Linked DNA regions of Tribolium castaneum. The protein of the gene in region 2 binds, or shares a complex with, the protein of the main gene of each other region. Links are inferred from orthologs where the notes say so. Each region holds a gene or a part of one and is shown on either strand. Other genes may lie near its edges. The genes, in order: Polr2B and Tfb5.

What was found.
Region 1: Tfb5 (region 2) and Polr2B share a complex: the UniProt entries of both Homo sapiens proteins name them as parts of the TBP-based Pol II pre-initiation complex. The link is inferred for Tribolium castaneum from reciprocal best matches to the Homo sapiens genes GTF2H5 and POLR2B.

Annotation. Positions count from the first base shown.
Region 1 is NC_087395.1:24,234,855-24,238,940, reverse strand, and holds the start of Polr2B (DNA-directed RNA polymerase II subunit RPB2), read left to right. Parts: upstream 1-1,286; 5' UTR 1,287-1,425; coding exon 1,426-1,444; intron 1,445-1,502; coding exon 1,503-3,661; intron 3,662-3,713; coding exon 3,714-3,958; intron 3,959-4,018; coding exon 4,019-4,086. Other genes in the region: uncharacterized protein Rsod, read left to right, coding at 1-10, 57-191, 241-796, 841-941. UniProt on the Homo sapiens protein: Catalytic core component of RNA polymerase II (Pol II), a DNA-dependent RNA polymerase which synthesizes mRNA precursors and many functional non-coding RNAs using the four ribonucleoside triphosphates as substrates.
Region 2 is NC_087399.1:6,491,420-6,507,637, forward strand, and holds Tfb5 (general transcription factor IIH subunit 5), read right to left. Parts: upstream 8,511-16,218; 5' UTR 8,404-8,510; coding exon 8,369-8,403; exon of another isoform or gene 8,322-8,368; coding exon of another isoform or gene 7,940-8,321; intron 7,479-7,939; coding exon of another isoform or gene 7,252-7,478; exon of another isoform or gene 7,246-7,251; intron 7,225-7,245; coding exon 7,038-7,224; 3' UTR 6,953-7,037; downstream 1-6,952. Other genes in the region: Ube4B (ubiquitin conjugation factor E4 B), read left to right, coding at 2,507-2,828, 2,881-2,942; heix (ubiA prenyltransferase domain-containing protein 1 homolog), read right to left, coding at 5,548-6,528; meiotic nuclear division protein 1 homolog, read left to right, coding at 7,252-7,478, 7,940-8,321; hydroxyacyl-coenzyme A dehydrogenase, mitochondrial, read left to right, coding at 8,941-9,054, 9,109-9,685, 11,409-11,647; Ipk2 (inositol polyphosphate multikinase), read left to right, coding at 13,760-13,946, 13,999-14,297, 14,342-14,477, 15,273-15,916. UniProt on the Homo sapiens protein: Component of the general transcription and DNA repair factor IIH (TFIIH) core complex, which is involved in general and transcription-coupled nucleotide excision repair (NER) of damaged DNA and, when complexed to CAK, in RNA transcription by RNA polymerase II.

The DNA.
Region 1 (4,086 bases), on a different chromosome or scaffold from region 2:
CCGGAATGTGGTACGTGTCTCCAGTGGTTTATTTTTAATGGTACTATTTTGAACAGACCAGGGACCATGACTGGGCCATTTACGTGAACCCAGTGGGCGTGGACGCGGCCGTCAAGACCCAGAACACGCGGTGTGTGGCCGGGGGCTACATCTGGAACCCCTATTTCACCCAACTGGCCGACCCCCTCAATGTATATTTTGCTTTTTTTTTAATTTTATAATATAATGTTCTGGTTTCAGGGTGATCTTTATCGGCAAGAGTGCGGGCCTGAGAACCCGCTCAGGTGCCACGTGGGGGACCTGTCGGCCCGTTTGGGGACCATCGACATCGGGCTCCAGCGCAAAGTCTTCACCGATGCGAATTTCCCGCTCGAAGGCGACGTCACGGCAATCGGGCGCTCCATCGTCATCATGAGCCCCAACAGACGTCCCGAACGTTACGCCTGTGCCAATATCGAGCCCGACTATGACATAATCAAGTACGCAAACATCGAAAAGCCCCCACGTTTTGTCCTGTCGCAGTTTATCGAAGAAGTGCGCGAAATTCTGGGAATCCCCGACTGGTTTTTGACCGTAGATTCGCGCAAAACCAAGTCTTTGCACAGCGACGCTTGCGTCCAGCTTTTGCTGCATTTTAAAGGACCGCTAGCTAACCGATTAGAGCAGGATTTCAGCCGATTGCTGGCAAGTGGGCGTTTAGACACCCCCACATTGTACATTCCAGGGTTTATTAATACGAAACGTAAGGTGAAAATTGCGTACAAGCAGTGTGGAGTACAAGACCCCAACGAGAAGAGTAAGTTTATGGATTAGGCGACAAAAAATGAGTGTATTTTGCAGGTAAAAAACGGACCGGATTTTTCTTTGCACGCTCAGGAAGCAACCCAGCCAAATTTGCTCACAGTCTGATTGTAGTGATAGTTTTAAGCTATTTATTGTAATGATATGACTGTTCCTAATAAAAAAGTAATATATTACCATGGAGTTTGAAATTTAGCGCCAATAATGAAGTCACGTGGTGCAATCCACAAAAAATCAAAAACGCAATATAATTAAAAAATTGGACTTGTTACCACTTACCTGACCTTTAAGTCACATTACAGATAATTATTAAATATTTTTTTGGTCGAATAGTGTAATTTAACATCGTATCTTGAAAATCTGGAGACTTTTTTGTTGTATGGTTACGTAACACTTCAAGGTCATTGCAGGAAAATAAAAAATTGGGCCGTATTTAACAAGTTTTTTATTTGTTTTCCAAAGTATTGTGTTTGGGGCTACCCCCCGAACATAAAATATTAATTTATTTCACAAAATAAGGGTTTTCTTGGGGTCCCCATACAAAGTCAACTGACACTTGACAGACGCTCAAAACTTGTGTTTTGTGCGTCTCATTTGTGCCCCATTTTTTGCAAATAATCAGCAATGTATGAACAAGACGAAGGTACGCAATCCCCCTTGAGTAGCCCCCGAGCCATTTGTAACAAAAACCGGCTTTTCAGACCAATTCGACGATGAAGAGTCTGAAGAAATCAGCTCCGAGTTGTGGCAAGAGGCCTGCTGGATCGTCATCAACGCCTATTTCGACGAAAAAGGCCTCGTCCGGCAACAACTGGACAGTTTCGACGAGTTTATCCAAATGTCGGTGCAACGAATCGTCGAAGACTCGCCCCAAATCGACCTCCAAGCCGAGGCACAGCACACAAGCGGCGAGCTTGAAAACCCCTCTCGGTATTTACTGAAATTCGAGCAGATCTACCTATCCAAACCGACCCATTGGGAGAAAGACGGCGCCCCCTCGCCCATGATGCCCAACGAGGCCCGCTTGCGCAACCTGACCTACTCGGCCCCCTTGTACGTCGATATCACCAAGACCATAGTCAAGGACGGCGAGGACCCCATTGAGACCCAGCACCAGAAAACCTTCATCGGGAAAATCCCGATTATGCTCCGATCCACGTACTGTCTCCTCAACGGTCTAACCGACCGCGACTTGACCGAACTCAACGAGTGCCCCCTTGACCCCGGCGGCTACTTCATCATCAACGGCTCAGAGAAAGTCCTAATCGCCCAGGAGAAAATGGCCACGAACACCGTCTACGTCTTCTCGATGAAAGACGGGAAATACGCCTTCAAATCCGAAATCCGCTCCTGTCTCGAGCACAGCTCGCGCCCCACGTCCACCCTCTGGGTCAACATGATGGCACGTGGGGGCCAGGCGATCAAAAAGGCCGCCATCGGGCAACGAATCATCGCGATCTTGCCCTACATCAAGCAGGAGATCCCCATCATGATCGTGTTCCGGGCCTTGGGGTTCGTGGCCGATCGGGACATCCTCGAGCACATTATTTACGACTTCGAAGACCCCGAGATGATGGAAATGGTGAAACCGTCCCTGGACGAAGCGTTCGTGATCCAGGAACAGAACATCGCACTCAACTTCATTGGGACCAGGGGGGCCCGGCCGGGCGTCACCAAAGAAAAGCGTATCAAATACGCGCGAGAGATCCTCCAGAAGGAGATGCTGCCCCACGTTGGAGTGTCCGATTTTTGCGAGACGAAAAAAGCCTACTTTTTGGGGTACATGGTGCACCGGTTGCTCCTGGCGGCTTTGGGGCGCCGCGAGCTGGACGATCGGGATCACTACGGTAACAAACGACTGGACTTGGCGGGGCCCCTGCTTGCGTTTTTGTTCCGTGGGTTGTTTAAAAACTTGATGAAGGAAGTACGGATGTATGCCCAGAAATTTATTGATCGGGGCAAAGACTTTAACCTCGACTTGGCCATTAAGACTAAGTTGATTACGGACGGGTTGAGGTATTCTCTGGCGACTGGTAACTGGGGGGACCAGAAGAAGGCCCACCAGGCCAGAGCCGGTGTCTCGCAGGTGTTGAACCGTTTGACTTTTGCCTCGACTTTGTCGCACTTGAGACGTGTTAATTCGCCCATTGGACGTGACGGGAAGTTGGCGAAGCCCCGACAGTTGCACAACACGCTCTGGGGGATGATTTGTCCGGCGGAGACACCAGAAGGGGCGGCTGTTGGTCTGGTGAAAAATCTGGCCCTCATGGCGTATATTTCGGTGGGGTCGCAACCCTCTCCAATTTTGGAGTTTTTGGAGGAGTGGTCGATGGAGAATTTGGAGGAGATTGCGCCGTCTGCCATAGCCAACGCGACCAAGATTTTTGTTAATGGTTGCTGGGTGGGAATTCACAGGGACCCCGAACAGTTGATGGCGACGTTACGCAAGTTGAGGAGACAGATGGATATTATTGTGTCGGAGGTTTCCATGATTCGGGATATTCGGGACCGGGAGATTCGCATTTACACGGATGCTGGACGGATTTGTCGGCCGTTACTAATCGTGGAAAATGGGACTTTATTGTTGAAGAAGCGCCACATTGATATGTTGAAAGAGAGGGAATATAATAACTACGGGTGGCAGGTTTTGGTGGCTTCAGGGGTTGTCGAATATATCGATACTTTGGAAGAGGAGACTGTGATGATTGCGATGTCTCCGGACGATTTGAGACAGGAGAAGGAATACGCGTATTGTACCACTTACACACATTGTGAGATCCATCCAGCTATGATTTTGGGTGTTTGTGCCAGTATTATACCCTTCCCGGATCACAACCAGAGTCCCAGAAACACATATCAAGTATTTGTTTTGGTGTTGTTTGAATTTTTTTAGTAATTAATTTTTTCCTCAGAGTGCTATGGGCAAGCAAGCCATGGGTGTGTACATCACCAACTTCCATGTCCGCATGGACACCCTTGCCCACGTCCTGTATTACCCCCACAAACCGTTGGTTACAACCAGATCAATGGAATATCTCAGATTCAGGGAATTACCGGCTGGGATTAACAGCATCGTGGCCATTGCGTGTTACACCGGTTATAACCAGGAGGATTCGGTTATTTTGAACGCGTCGGCCGTCGAAAGGGGATTTTTCCGGTGAGTATTAAAAAAAAGTAATATAGTAGAAATAAAATAATTTGTTATTTTGTGCTTTAGATCTGTGTTTTACCGCTCGTACAAGGACGCCGAATCGAAACGCATCGGCGACCAAGAGGAGCAGTTCG
Region 2 (16,218 bases):
CCATAAACTTAAGTTTGGCACAAAGCAATGAATTATTTGTTTTATCAAAAGTCCACTAATGACAATGCAGTATATCCAGTAACAGTGTATCTGATAGTTATCTAAAGTATTAGTTAATGAAGCATTTGTACTGAAACCTTTTCTAAACCCCGATTGGGAAGAAGGAAGAATATTATGAAAAATATAATTTAATTCTTTACAGATTTCTCCCGAACATTTTTCTTGTATCTTTAACTGATTCGCAAAATACGGGACGAGGCGCAAATTTTAAATCTTTAATAATTTTTCCCATGTTTCTTATAAAAATTTAGCCACCAGTTTTTCTCAGTCTCTCAAGAATGCAAAGCTTAACATCTCTACAGTAATTAGTGATTTGGTTGGATTTCAATAAGTTTAAAACGAAGCGCCCTCATTTTTACTCTGCCGTACTATTTTTTGCATACAGAAAATCCATCAAGTTAGTCCTCCGTGTCATGATAATTGATTTAATTTACGGTTCTAGGAATAATGCGCTGTTTAAATAGTAAGCAAGTTTTGTAATTAGAGCCAAGACAAGGGTAAAAAAGTGTGAGACAATAATTTATAATTGGTAATACAAGTGTTTCACAGAGTTTTTTTTCTTAATTTGAAATCAATTATACTATGGTTTGGGTTTAGTAGACGCAAACACACGTAACTATTTTTTACCAAAAGAGAGACATGACATTTGAAACGTAATTCTTGATCAAAAACAACGCCCGTTAATTTTATACTTTTGGCAATTTTTAATTTAGAAATTTCAAAATGTATGTTTAGATCAATGTCCTTTAATTTACAATAAGGGCCCTAAAACGGAGCCTTGGGGTACCCCTGAAGTAAGTCTTCCACAGTATGATAATAACTTATTCAGTTGAACCATAAACAGAATTTTAAATAGTTTTACTAAAAACCCATAACCTTAAGTTGGGCACAAAGCAATGAATTATTTATTTTAACAAAAGTCCACTAATGACAATGCAGTATTTAAACCAGTAACAGTGTATCTGATAGTTATCTAAAATATTAGTTAATGAAGCATTTGTACTAAAACCTTTTCTAAACCCCGATTGGGAAGAAGGAAGAATATTACGAAAAATATCACGTAAATGCCAAGGAATATGGGAGTTTTCACGAGATTTTAAACCAACATTTTTTACTTTTTCCACAACATTTTATTAATCTTATTTAGAAAAGCCGTTTTCTTGGTCTCGCGGACTTTTCTAAAAGAAATTTAATTCTTTAAAGATTTCTCCCAAACAGCGTCTTAAAAAAACAGGACGAGGCGCAAATTTTAAATCTTTAATAATTTTTCCCATGTTTCTTATAAAAATTTTAGCCACCAGTTTTTCTCAGTCTCTCAAGAATGCAAAGCTTAACACCATTTATTTAAACAATAAGTTTAAAACGAAGCGCCCTCATTTTTACTCTGCCGTACTATTTTTTGCATACAGAAAATCTATCAACTTAGTCCTCCGTAACATGATAATTGATTTAATTTACGGTTCTAGGAATAATGCGCTGTTTAAATAGTAAGCAAGTTTTGTAATTAGAGCCAATACAAGGGTAAAAAAGTGTGAGACAATAATTTATAATTGATAATACAAGTGTTTCACAGAGTTTTTTTTCTTAATTTGAAATCAATTATACTATGGTTTGGGTTTAGTAGACGCAAACACACGTAACTATTTTTTACCATAAGAGAGACATGACATTTGAAACGTAATTCTTGATCAAAACCAACGCCCATTAATTTTATACTTTTGACAATTTTTAATTTAGAATTTTCAAAATGTATGTTTAGATCAACGTCATTTAATTTACAATAAGGGCCCTAAAACGGAGCCTTGGGGTACCCCTGAAGTAAGTCTTCCACAGTATGATAATAAATTGTTCAGTTGAACCATAAACAGAATTTTAAACAGTTTTACTAAAAACCCATAAACTTAAGTTTGGCACAAAGCAATGAATTATTTATTTTATCAAAAGTCCATTAATGATAATGCAGTGTTTAAACCAGTAACAGTGTATCTGATAGTTATCTAAAATATTAGTTAATGAAGCATTTGTACTGAAACCTTTTCTAAACCCCGATTGGGAAGAAGGAAGAATATTACGAAAAATATCACGTAAATGCCAGGGAATATGGGAGTTTTCACGAGATTTTAAACCAAAATTTTTAACTTTTTCCACAACATTTTATTAATCTCCCAAACAGCGTCTTAAAAAAAAACAGGACGAGGCGCAAATTTTAAATCTTTAATAATTTTTCCCATGTTTCTTATAAAAATTTTAGCCACCAGTTTTTCTCAGTCTCTCAAGAATGCAAAGCTTAACATCATTTATTTAAACAATAAGTTTAAAACGAAGCGCCCTCATTTTTACTCTGCCGTACTATTTTTTGCATACAGAAAATCTATCAAGCTAGTCCTCCGTAACATGATAATTGATTTAATTTACGGTTCTAGGAATAATACGCTGTTCTTTGCAGAGATCTTTCCGGAAAGATTTGTTTGACGACGCAGCGGCGCGATTAGAGCGCCTGTCAATCAAAACTCCGGTTGAGATCGAACGGTTTAAGGCCTTGGCCGATAAGGCGTATCACGTGTATCAAAATAACCAGAAAAGTGATGACTGGATGAGCGACGCCCCTGACGAATTCAAGGATCCCTTAATGGACACTTTGATGACTGATCCTGTGTTGTTGCCCAGTGGGCAGGTGATGGACAGGTCCGTCATTATGAGGCATTTGTTGAATAGCAGTACGGACCCGTTTAATCGGCAACCATTGACTGAAGATATGCTGCAGCCAGGTTAGTTTCAAGTTGCTTTTTCGTAGGGGAATTAAAAATTTGGATGTTGCAGTGAATGAGTTGAAGGAGCGCATTAGGATATGGAAATCAGAAAAGACACGTTCGGCAAATTAATTTTATTATTTTTTGGTATAAATATAATTTTTGGATAAAACTGAGTTTATTTCGACCGGAAGGAAGGAAGGCTGAGAATCTCGTTTCGTTTGCATTTGTTCCTCAAATTCATACTGCCAAATTGTTGCTTTTTTAGTTCAGTAATTAATGCCAACTTATTGTTTGTCTTGACTTTCCCCCAGTCCGGTGGATTATTTTTGTACATAATTATACAAAACGCAAAGTGAGATGTACATTTTTTTCATCTAATCGAATTAACTGTTAGTGCAAACAAATTTGATTGTTTCCCGATATTTTTTCTAGATAATTTTAGGTTAAAGCTTGTAGACACCGAAATAATCAAATTTATTTGTAATGAAAACAAAGCAAAACAATTTTTATATGAAAACGTAGGTTAGTTTGTATGTAATGGGTCAATAAAATTTATACAAAAATCAGATATGTGTTTTCGTAAAAGCCCTATCATGCAATACTGTCTCGGTAACTAGAGGTTTGTCCGACAAAACAGCTCGTAAGTAAAAAACGGTTCAGGACTAAAACTTCCGCAGGAACAAACCTGTAAATCCCACTAGACCAACAATTTTAAATGCTATGATTGTGCTATTATCACTACCGAAAATTGTGCTAAAGGCTGTCCCTGACGCGCTTTGAATAATTGATTAAGTCATAAGCCCCGAACAAGCCGCCAGGTGGCCAACCCACACACTACGAATAAATTATTTGATATTTTTACGCAGACTTTTCCGTTATTGTCAATTGAAGTAGTCTGAGCAGTGACTGGAAGAGATGCGATTGCAGCGCCCCCAAACGTCAAATGGCGCCTACTACCACTACCAAGCGTTTCGTTTAATATTAGTCTAGACACACAAAATAAAAACAAACGGAAATTATAATGATTTACTATAAAATCTCTTACACAACGTCATACAAAACTCATCAACATTAACAATAAATTAATCAGCTATAAAAATACATGATTTATAATTGGCCAATCAGGGACTAAACCCCGCCTTGAAAGAGCCAATCACCTGATTAGGTTCAGTCACGACCAGAAAGAATGTCACCCCTACGAACCACAGCAATGATCTTTTAGGTCATAAATGTAAATTTCACATCATCGAGTGTTTTCTCGACTATTAGATTTTAGGCCCCAATGATATTAAAATCGTATAATATACATGTAATTAGAGTCGGCGTACAGAAAACAAGTTAAAATTTATTCCAACGTTAAATTAATTCAAAGTAAGTTACCATTTACCTTGCATTGACAAAGTCAATCTATAGGAGTATGTTCATATTTGAAAACTAAAACAGTGAATTTATAATTAATTCCAATAATAATTTTTCATTTAAAATTTAAAAAATTGTTTCTAAGCAAACATAATAGTTATTTAACTATTTGGCATTTTTCAATACGAAATGTCTGACTATTCTAACAGATTTAAAGCAATTTCAAGCCTTGTTGAGTCAAATTCGAAAAATAAATGTTGTATTCAACTCGTTTTCATGTAAATCGATTAATAAAATAATTTTTTTTATTACGAATATATAGAATTGGCCAGCAAATATCGAATTTACCTTTGCAAAGTCAAATCAGTCAAAAATCTGTTGCTTCAAAACTGTAAAGTTTACTTTAAATTTTGAGGTTTCCAATTTTTTTTTTAATTTGGCCAAATAAATGAATTTCTAGCTTAAAAGTGTAAATTTTGCAAAACCTTTAACTTTGTACACATTTTCTGTGAAATAATTTTTCCACGGCCAACATGGCTGCTTTATCCGGCTCGAAGGACCAAATATTAGTAAGTTCATATTGATAGAATCCATAAATGGAGAAACATCGTTATTATTTTTTGCAACCGTTTTGAATAAAGAAAAATTCCAGCCGAGGCGAAGCCGAGTTTCTTTAACAACTTGCGGTTAAAAACGGATGATTCGTTTTAAGTAAGACCCCATTTTCGGTTTGTCTGTGAGCGACTTCGTCCTTTTGTATAATCACTTTTTTTTAGAATTTTATTGGTAAATACTTGACAAAAGACTAGGACTTTTAGAAACATTAAATTAAAGGCAAAATTTCTAACAAAAAAAAGATTATTTAAAGATAAGTAAAAATTTATAACAAAAATGTTTCAAAAAATAGAGGGTACTATTTAAAATTTTAAATTAAAAGTGGCTAACAACTGGAACAGAATGTAACTAACGTTGGTTTTGAACTTTAGTACACCTACTTTTGTTTAAAAATAAGTAAATAAGTACTACTTAAAAAGCTAACACATTACGTAATACAGTTTTGATCATACTTGGAGTAAATAGACTACATTTATTAATTTACACGATTAGAATATCGTTGATGTTACAAAAGTAAAAACCCGAAATCATGTTTATTGACGTTTACGACCCAACAGTTTATAGGGATGACATTCTTTATGATCGTGACTGTTCATTGTCATAAGTACAATAATCTCGACGTAACAAACGAAAATGAGAAGGTATTGCGGCTTGGACCCCAAGCCGCAAACCCGCACTAGCGCCCCCTTTTGACGCAGTTCCTCAACACAGTAAAAAATAACTTAATAGAAATAAATACAACTAATAAGAGCTCGTACATCTATCTTTTGGTGACGTACGGCAGCGCTGGAACCAAACTACAGGCCAGCACGTACAAAACACCGAAAAACAAATTCAATTTGGCAGTCTTTTTGGGCACACTGTGTATATCGTTGGATCTGAACTGTTTTTCGATTTTAAAAGCGCTAGGAAGCGTGACTAGAGGCAACATGAACCATTTCGAGTATTTCAACGAGGCCACCATGAACATGATATACGGGGTGAACAACAAAAACGCGTACAAGACGTGCGAGGCAGTGTGGCCGATAATAATCGCCAGAGTCACAATTCCCACCTTTTTGTCCGACTCAGAGTCCCTTGTGTTATTACTATGTAAAATCGCCTCAGTATTAAGGGCCAGAGGGATGGCGTAGTAAATCGTCGCCCACTCGACGCGCCCCGTTTGCGACATGAAGGCGAAAAGCACCGAAATGGGGCCGAACAAAATCAAAATAAGCACATCCCCGAGGGCTATATACTTGAAGCCTATACCTCCCGTGTAGAGGAAGCTCGACGACAGCCCCCCGAAATAGACCAAAGCCAAGTGCTCCATCTTCGCGGGGCTCAACGCCGCCAAGAGAATGAACCCCACACAGCCGGCAAAGTATAAAAGGGCCCCCAGAGACACCACCTCGTCTTTGGTCAGAATGTGGTCCACCAGGATCCGGTCGTCCGATTTCCGGTTGTCGATCCCCTTGACGTAGTCGAAGTAGGTGTTGACGACGTTTCCGGCGCCGTGCACCGACACCACGGTGAAAATTGTGAGCAGGAGGGTGGCGTAGTTGAAATCGGTAACTCCGGGGTATTTGTACGCTATGGTGGAGCCCAACAGTGTGGGCATGAGACTGGCACTGAGGGACCACGGACGCAAGGCTAGCACGTAACTTGATAGCTTCATGAGGCCCGATTTTTGGCCGTTTTGGCGCTTGGGAGTGGTGGAGCCATTGGTGAGGAGTTTCTCGCTGGGGGTGGGCACCGTCATGATGGGGGTAAATGCACTGACACGGAACTTAACACACTTGATGATTTGTGGCCGAGAAACGCGTTTTTTCGTTTTATAACTTTGACAAACGGAACATAACCAAAGAAGTCAATTGTGACGTTTGACATGTGGCTGTGGTTACGTCACGGCGGCTATTAAATCAGGGAAAAATTATAATTAGTGACACGTTTCCGTTATCTATTGCTTAATTCTATTCTTATCATTTGTGTGTAAAAATGTTCGTGATGGCGTAACAACTGTAGAATAGTCGGTTATCAAAGAAGCGTAATTGTAGCCACTTCCAATTTACAGGGAACTGTATTATTTGTACCGACAATTTGAAAAAACAGTTAATTAGTGCCTTATTGCGTAAGTATGGACGAAAACCGGCCCGCAACGATATTATTTATAGCAAAACACGTCATTATATAAATGCTGCGCTTTTTATTTATAATTCGAATGACCACACATCAATATGACATAACCTCACTTTTGCAAATTACAAAAAATTAATTGCTTTTTTCGGCGACTGGGAAGCTAATTTGGTCCATCAGATCGTCGATTTTTGCCTGTAATGTCTCTAAAATATCGGCTGAAATAAATAAGTGGTTTTCATCCAAGTCCTGAATTATGAATTTTCGGCCTAGTTTTGTAGTCTCATCTAAATACAAAAGGAATTGTTTCATGGCCTGGTCACTGAAACAACGCATTTTTTAGGGGAAAATGTTCAAGAAAAAAGGTCTAAGTTTTGAGGAGAAAAAGGCTAGGATGTTGCAATTGTTTCACGAGACTGGGGATTTTTATCAAATGAATGAATTGGAAATAATTGCGCCAAAGGAGAAAGGAATTACGGCGAATTCTGTGAAAGAAGTGGTCCAAGCTTTGGTGGATGATGGTTCTGTTGATAAGGATAAGATCGGGAGTTCCGTCTACTTTTGGGCTTTTCCCAGGTAAATATTATACAGGGTGTCCGTTTTTTTGAGAAGTTGTGCATTTGTATGCAAAACAATTTCTGAAAGAAAATTTTATGTGCCATTTTTAGTTTTTGAATTATTGAGAGAAATTTAAAAAAATGATTTTCGTTTTTATTTTTTTCCCATAAAAAAAACGAAGTTAAGTGTTGTAACTCTGACATCAAGCAAGCCTAGGAAAATCCGATGACAAATTTAGATTCCTTGTAAAAAGTGCCCGAAAAAGTCCTACGTCTAGTTCTTTTGGTTTTCACTTGAAAAAATAAAAACGAAAATTACAATTTTTTTTTTCAAATAATTGTTCAGCATAAAAATGCGCAACTTTGCCCTAATTTAACCGACCTCGTATCTCTTATAATAACGGAGATCACTGAGATAACTGGGAGAGTGTCCGAAAAACGGTATAGACGGGCCAAAAACACGTTTTATCCTAATTACAGCAAATTACTTAACGCGAAAAAACGCAAACTTAACGAGCTTCAAACGAAATTAGAATCGTCAACAAAAAAATTGAAATTAATTGACGAAACTATGGAAAAAGCGCAGGTGGGGAAAGAGAATTGGGACGACAGCCAGATTTTGAAGGAAATTGAAAAACTGGAAAAACAGAAAGAAAAATTCGAATCTCTGTCGAAATCTCACACAGATACTCAAAATTTGAAATTAATGCAAAGTGAGATAAAACCGGTAAAAGAAGCAGCAAATCGATGGACTGATAATATCTTCGCGGTCAAATCATGGTGCAAAAGGAAGTTTATGATGGAAGATAAGGTTTTAAATAAGCAGTTTGGGATTCCCGGAGATTTGGATTATCTGGCATGATTGAGGTTATGTCAAACAAAAACTCAAAAAAATTGTTAGGGCCTTACCAGGTCACCAAAACGCCTTTCATTACATTAACCATTGTTGATAATCGAGAATTGTGTACTTTTTTAAATCAGAAATAAATTATTTTTCTTACAAAAGTTGGTGTTTTTATGACATTTGACAACTTATAGAATGCAACTAACCTCTCACACGTGTATTGCTGATTGCATAATCACAAATTTCCCCAAAATTATATTTTTTTTCAAGTATTTCTTTGAAAAAAGTGGATAAATTGATAACAGGGATTGCTATATAGCCCCATTTTGGAACCCTCCTGTGTACCACTTGACTGAATGATGTTGCACTTTTATTACATAATACCTAAATAAATTCAGGTACAAAAGTCGCACTCGTTATCGAAAGCGGATTATTTTTAAACCATCGGCACGATGATTTTCACTTCTGAGCCCTAATCTCGCCATAAACGATAAAATGATTAAAAAGTACACAAACGTAGCGGTGGGAGTCGATCATAGGTTACAAACTTGGACTTTCACCTAGTTATTGTATCGTTAATAAACCAAACAAAATCCGCATTACACACCACTTTTTACTCGTAACCGAACGCGAAAAAATGGCCCTAAACCTGTTCATCAAGCGAAGCCTTTCAACTTCAAGCCCCATGAACGCAGTTATAAAAAACGTAACTGTGATCGGGGGCGGCCTCATGGGCTCAGGCATCGCCCAAGTAAGTGTACCCCAAACCACCCGAACCTAACCTAACATTCGCCCCCTTGCTTAGGTGGCCGCGCAAACCGGCCACAACGTGACCATCGTGGAAGTCAACCCCGACTTGATCAAAAAAGCCGAAGACAGCATTGCGAAAAACTTGGTACGAGTCGCCAAAAAACTCCACAAGGATGACCCGCAAGCCGCTAATAAATTCGTGAGCGAATCGCAGGCCCGGATTAAGGGGTGCACCGACATTGCCGAAGCTGTGAAAGACAGCGATTTGGTCGTGGAGGCGATTGTTGAAAACATGGATGTTAAGCACAAATTGTTCAAAAATTTGGATGAGGTCGCGCCCCCCAAAACCATGTTTGCGTCAAATACGAGCTCGCTCTCGATTACCGAAATTGCCTCCGTTACGAAGAGGAAGGATAGGTTCGGGGGGCTGCATTTTTTCAATCCCGTGCCCGTTATGAAGCTTTTGGAGGTTGTTAGGACTCCGGAGACGTCGCAGGAGACGTACGAGGCCTTTATGGCGTGGGGCAAAGCCGTGGGCAAGACCTGCGTCACCTGCAAGGACACCCCCGGGTTTATTGTTAACAGGCTTCTGGTGCCCTATATAGCAGAAGCCATCAGGATGATGGAGAGAGGTAATAATTATGTAATATTGAAGCTCGAAGCGAAGCTGAGAGCTTTAAGGTTGCCAAGCTTGTGGCAAATACAGGCGTTCAATAAATCTGATACGACTTGAGTTACACAAAACGAAATGAATTTTTGAAAATATTTTTATTGCCAATAAGGCTCTACGAATGGAAAATAAATCGAGTTATAAAATACCGAAAAATTCTTCAGACTTCAGACTGTCAAGATGAAATTTAGGATTTTTTTTCCAAGTAAATTTATGTCAACCCGGTTTTTTTTCTTATTGGATTTTGAGGTTTTTTTCAAAAACTTAGCAAAATCTACTGGTGAAACAACATTATGATTAAGAACTATGTATTTGTTGAAGGTCATTTTTCAAAAAAATCCTCGAACAGGTCGAGCTTATTTTTGTAAATGCTACATGGTAACATTTGTGACATCACTGGTTTCTCAATAATGCCGCTATTTTTAATTTTTTTAAATGGGAATCGATATTTTTGGTTACTGTTTTTTATAGTAGATATTACTCTTTTATCTTTATAGTAAGTGCAAAAAATTGAAGTGATAAATAAAAAATTTAGAAAAAAAAAAAATTTTATAAGGGGCGATTATTTTTTTGCTTATTTTGAAAAATCAGAATAATATGAATTTTATGCGTTACTTTAGACACACTCTATATATCCAAAAATGCACAATATAGGGTGTTTTATTTAAAAAATATATAAATTTGCATTGTACCTAACATTTTTTGCTAATCTTTTATTGAAATATTTTAACATAACGACAGTTAAAGTTTGATTCAATAACTTAACCTTCACCAATATAAAAAAAATTAGCTGAAAACAATACTATCTTATAATGTTATATATTTTTTCTACTCCCATTCCTGAAGTGATTGATTAAAAATGTTTGTGACCTGTACTTTAATGAAAATCATTATGATACTGGCTTGTAACCAATGGTAATGCAGAGTAGTGACCACGAGGACAACTTGTGACCAATGAGAATGTAACATGGCAGCAACTATTAGATTGCCTTGAGTCTGACTTTAAAAATAAATTAATCATTTTGAAAAAAAATGCAAGTCTTTTAATTTTAATCAGTCGGATCGTAAAAAAATAGTGTATGTAACTCGCATTTAATTTAAAACACTCGTACGACACTCGCTAAGGCTCGTTTCATAAAGTTGCTATTTAAGTTGCATTAACCAATGTCAAATTACTAAGTATTCTGTTAATCATATACTAAAATTTGATTTTTAATTTTGTGGAAAAACAAATGTTTGAAAATTTCAATACACAAAATCGTTAATCTCGTTTCTAATTTTCTTTTTATAAAAACCCGATTTTTAAAATTTTACTATGAATTAATATTTTATTTTAGGTTTGTTATGTAAGCGAGCTAAATTTTTAAATTACATTTAAATAAATAATTAATATGTGATCAATGTTGTGGCAAATAAAGTTTTTCTAATTGTTAGTTAAAAAATTTGTAATTTGTATAGTTTCATTTTCAAAAAAATTTGCATACATAATTTTTAGAAATTTCTCAATATCGGTAAGTAGTACTTTATGAAGGCAAATACTAGTCAAGACAGTAACATCTCTAAATAAAAAAAATAAGGAAAACGGCATTACCTTACTATTTTTTTTAACGGCAGTATACAGTAATTACAAGTCAAAATTTTGAAAGGCTGTTAACACAAAAAATATGTATGAATTTTTTTCGAAGGTGATGCTTCGCCCCGCGATATCGACACCGCCATGAAGCTGGGGGCTGGCTACCCCATGGGCCCCATCGAACTGGCCGACTACGTGGGACATGACACCTCGCACGCCATCATGCAAGGCTGGCACAAGAAATTCCCTGATAACCCCCTTTTCAAACCGAACGAATCCGTACAAAAACTAATCGATGAGAAAAAACTGGGCGTGAAAACCGGCGAAGGCTTCTACAAATACACCAAATAAATATCTATATGTATTTTAATCAAATAAACAATTTTTTAATTGATTTGTTTACTGATGTCGATTTTTCCTCGTGTAAAATACTGTTGGCAAAGCCGCGAAGGTTCGATCGGATGTCATTCATGCCGTTCTATTTTCGTAAACCGAGTGATTTATTTTATTGAAAAGGTCTCCTCGAGTCGCAAAAAGTCAGTCATCGTTTTATTATCGTCGTATTGTCGCTATAAAAACACATCTTTAATGTGTGTTCTTAAAGTGGAGTGAAGGACGACTTAAAAATACATGCACAGAGATTGGGCGAATTAGCGGCGAGTACACGATTTTTTCGAGTAAATAAACTTTCGCGATTTCCGGTTGAAAAAACAATTAACACGTGGGTGCGAACGTTGATAACATTTCCGTGAAATCGCAGTCAATGCAATCGATACATCCTGTTTGAGGAGATGAGCGAAATTTATTTCGGCGGTAAGTTGAGGGCGGTTCTCGGTAATTCCCCTAATAAACACGTCATGGCAACAACAGACCTAAAAATCTAGTTCAAATTTCGCGCCACAATGCGTTGGCAATGAAAAAATTAAACAAACACTTGTGGTGTCAACAACAGTTGGCTAGATTAGCCGTTTCGTACAAATTGCCAACATAAATCGAGTGGGATTTTCTGGCGAAATTTCCATTTTTCATCACCGGAGAAAGGGAGTCAATTTTTTACTTCTATGGTTGGCGACAGTGCGCATGCGCCTTTTCGCGTATAAATAACTCGTCAAGGTGTCAAATTTGCACAAATCAAAGTGACGTGGTTTTGTTCACTGTGACGGTTCAAGATTCGCCCAAAACGGTTTTCTTTAAATAAAATGAACATCTTGCAGTGCTCTTTGTGCAAATTTGGTTACAAAATACGCAAATTTTGGTTCGAAGTTGAGTAGGTTAGTGGTTTTTGTGCCCTGGACTATCACCTGGAACTGGCCACATTTTTTATATTTTATGTTGTATTATTTTTTTGAGCTTGTGTTGGATCAAATTACATATTTATAGCGTCAAAGACCCCGCTAATTGTGTTCAGGGAAAAAGTGAATCATATTCTAAAAATATTCGTGAAATAATTTTTTTTTCATATTTTTTATTCGGGGGAAAGGTCGCGAAGGGGCTGTTGACCTCCGAACAAGCGCCTAACGGTCGTGACAATTGCACTTTTTACAAATAATTGCAATTATCAGAGTGACCTATTAAATTCGCCGATTTTTATACCGGGTGTTCTGGGAAAGTTATTAGAAAGCGTCTGATAAGGATTCATGTTGCAAACTTTGTCCCTAATAAATCTAATTCAAGTCAAGTTTAAGGCTCCCAAATTATGTCACTGGAAGATTTCGCCGACTCTCTTAGGCGCAAAATTTATTACTTGGCTTTAGTCATCAAGGTGACATTTTCCTTCATTTGCCAACGAGTTTTATTGTTGGAAAATATTTAATTTATCTCGGCCCCGATAATGAAAATACCTTAACGAGATTATTCAAGGGTCAACTATGTCTTGTTGAATAAACATTGCATTTTATTATGCAATTGAAAAACGTTTATCCTGAAACGTTAAAATAACAATCGAGTGATTGTTATGATAAGCGAGGCACTCAAGCGAATTTATGATGATGTTATGCGCTAAGTGAGTGTTTAATCGATAAAAATAATTTTTGTTTGCAATTCTAAAAGGATTAGGGGACATAAATTTGGCACCCACGAATTTGGTTCCCCACTTGGCCATGATAAAACAATTACCATGCATCTTACAAGCTTTTGTTAAATTCAGGGCCAACCAATATTAAATTATTTTGCAGTCATGGCGCGCGTGTAATTGTTTCGAACCCTTTGCAATGTGGCTCAGTTGGCCGTGAGAAATCGAAAGTTGCATCTGTCATTAGATTGTACCCACACGATGAGAAAAAAATAAACAAAAGTGACATTTGATAGGTCACAGCCGCCTCGAAATCGAAAGTTGCGTCAGGTCATAGCCGCCTCGACTTATCGCTTAATTCCTTTCAATTTGCGAAAAATTAATAACCCCGGCTTAATAATCGCATTTATCACATTTATGGTTGTTTTAGCCGATCAGATAAGCTTGAAAAAATGGGAAAATCAGAAGTCGTACCAATGCCAATTCATAAACAAGACAGCTTGTACGCGGGCTGTAAAGGTGCCGCCTTTTCGCTCGTTGATCCAGTGGAAGAAGATGAAGAGTATCTAGAGATCCCTGCCGATATGCAATTGTTCGAAAATCAAGTGGCGGGTCATATGATCAAGGGAAAACAATACGGTAACCAGTGTGTACATGCGAAATGTTGAAATTTACAAAATTTGCAAAAAAGGTATGATTAAGCACAAGGGCACTGTACTTAAACCCATCACCAAGCCGAAGTGTGGCCAACGCGAGGTCGAGTTTTACGAAGAAGTTAGCAAAGCCAGCGATGAGACAAGAAGGGAGTTGAAGGATTTTGTCCCCAAGTACTTCGGGACGGTTAAAGTGCCCATCAAGGGCACGGAAATCGACTGCATAGTGCTTGAAGATCTGACGAAACATTACAAAGAGCCCTGCGTCATGGACATCAAGATCGGGAGAAGGACGTGGGACCCCACAGCCACTTATGAGAAAATCGTCAATGAAGAGGTAACCGGCATTGGAAAAACGGCAAAAATTAATTCAAATTTTAGGCAAAGTATCAAGACTCGAAGCGCGACCTCGCCTTCTGCATCCCAGGTTTTCAAGTCTATCAAATTTACAACAACCAGTTGGCCAAGTTTGACAAGAATTACGGAAAAACTCTTAATAAAGACACCGTTCCGTTAGGTTAGTAAGGTCAAAAGTGAGGTTAGGACTTACCGACCGGTTGATTGAATTTTCGCTTTGGAAGTGCCGTTTTCACATCCAGAACACGTCAATTTTCATTTTTCTTGTCACTAGCATACGTTTTCGTTGTTGTTTGCTTGTTCTTAGGTAAAATAATTCGGAATTCAAAAATTTTTTCGACGCCATCACTTTTGTCAAATGTAACACTGCTACCAACCGGTCAGGGAATATTTTTCTACCAACCATGCTTTAATGACGACGAAATTCATATTTTTGGATCCAGTTGAGAACAAATTCTGAAAATCACATTTCCTGACTTATGAACACACAAAAACTCGTGTTTTTTAGTTAAATAATGCACAAATCGTCCTTAGTGTTTAAAATAAAAGTGAGGTTAGGGCTTACCGATCCAATTTCATTTCTCAAACTTTACAATTTTATTAAATAGGCCCCACGTAGGCACTTCACGATCATTGAACTCGTCTTTGACGACGGTTTTACACTTTTTTTAGAAAAATTACACTAAAATTCTCGCTCAGTTAAGCATTTGAAGTAGGATAGTACCGCCAACCTGACGAAATTGAAAAAAGCTTATTTTGCCCAATATTACAATTTTCCTTAAACAGTACAAGTTTCCTGGTCAGAATTGTGTTTTCCGACCAACGCAGACAATGTATTGTCCTATTACATTTTTTAGTTGATTGTGGAATTACCTTAAACCGCGTTGGTGTTGCCAACCTGACTTTACAAAAATTCAAAATTCGTTAAAAGTTATTTTAAATCGTTTTTTCGCAGCTTTGAAGACTTTCCTCAACGCCGAGACGTCCCCGCCTTGTCGCAGCCTAATAGTCCAATTCTTGGCAAGTTTATGGCGAATTCAAATGTGGGCCCGCAAACAGCGCACTTACCACTTCTATTCCTCGTCTCTTCTCCTTGTTTACGACGCTCGGAGACTCCGCGAGTTGCGCAAAACTGACCCCAAACCAATTCTAAAATTACAACGATCTACTAGCCTTTACCGGCCTTTAAGCCTCGCTGTTCTCAACAACGAGAAGATTTCAACTGGATTTAGCGGTCAGTTGACCAAAGAAGGCCCCATTTTGCGAACACCTACCTCTCCAACTAAATTGAAGCAATTCGACGATTACGTTGCGAAGAATAGGAGTAATAATGTGTGGCAGAAATCGATCAGGACGCTGAAACGGACCCACTCCTTCCAAAACGATTACGATAAGGATATGCAGAGTAAAAGACAGGATTATACTTATATTTTGGACGAGTTGTGCACCGAGCAGAAGTCGGAGCTTTGGGCTACGGTGAAGATGATTGATTTTGCTCATGCCTTCCCGGCCGAGAAATACCAGATTGATAACAACTATCTGGAAGGGATTAATAATTTGATAAGGCTGTTTGAGGAGCTTTTGGTCGAGAGTGAATGATGGGGGAACTACCGGCTACATCACTTGTGTGATATTTTTTGATGGTGATGCTCTGATACTTAAATTTTGTATTAAATCAATAAATTTTGCTACTAAAGGGCTTAGTGTTTCTGTTCGCATTCCCAGCTCACTTTTTCAACAAAAATTAGATCTAGGCTACAAGGGAATATAACGTAGGAGAAGCAAAAAAATTGGCTTGAGACTGTTGTCCCCAGTTGGCCAGTTTAGCTGGATTTGTTTTTCTCATAAATGGAACAAGAAAACTTGATGTGTAATGTTGGTTGCATAATTCAGGCAATAGG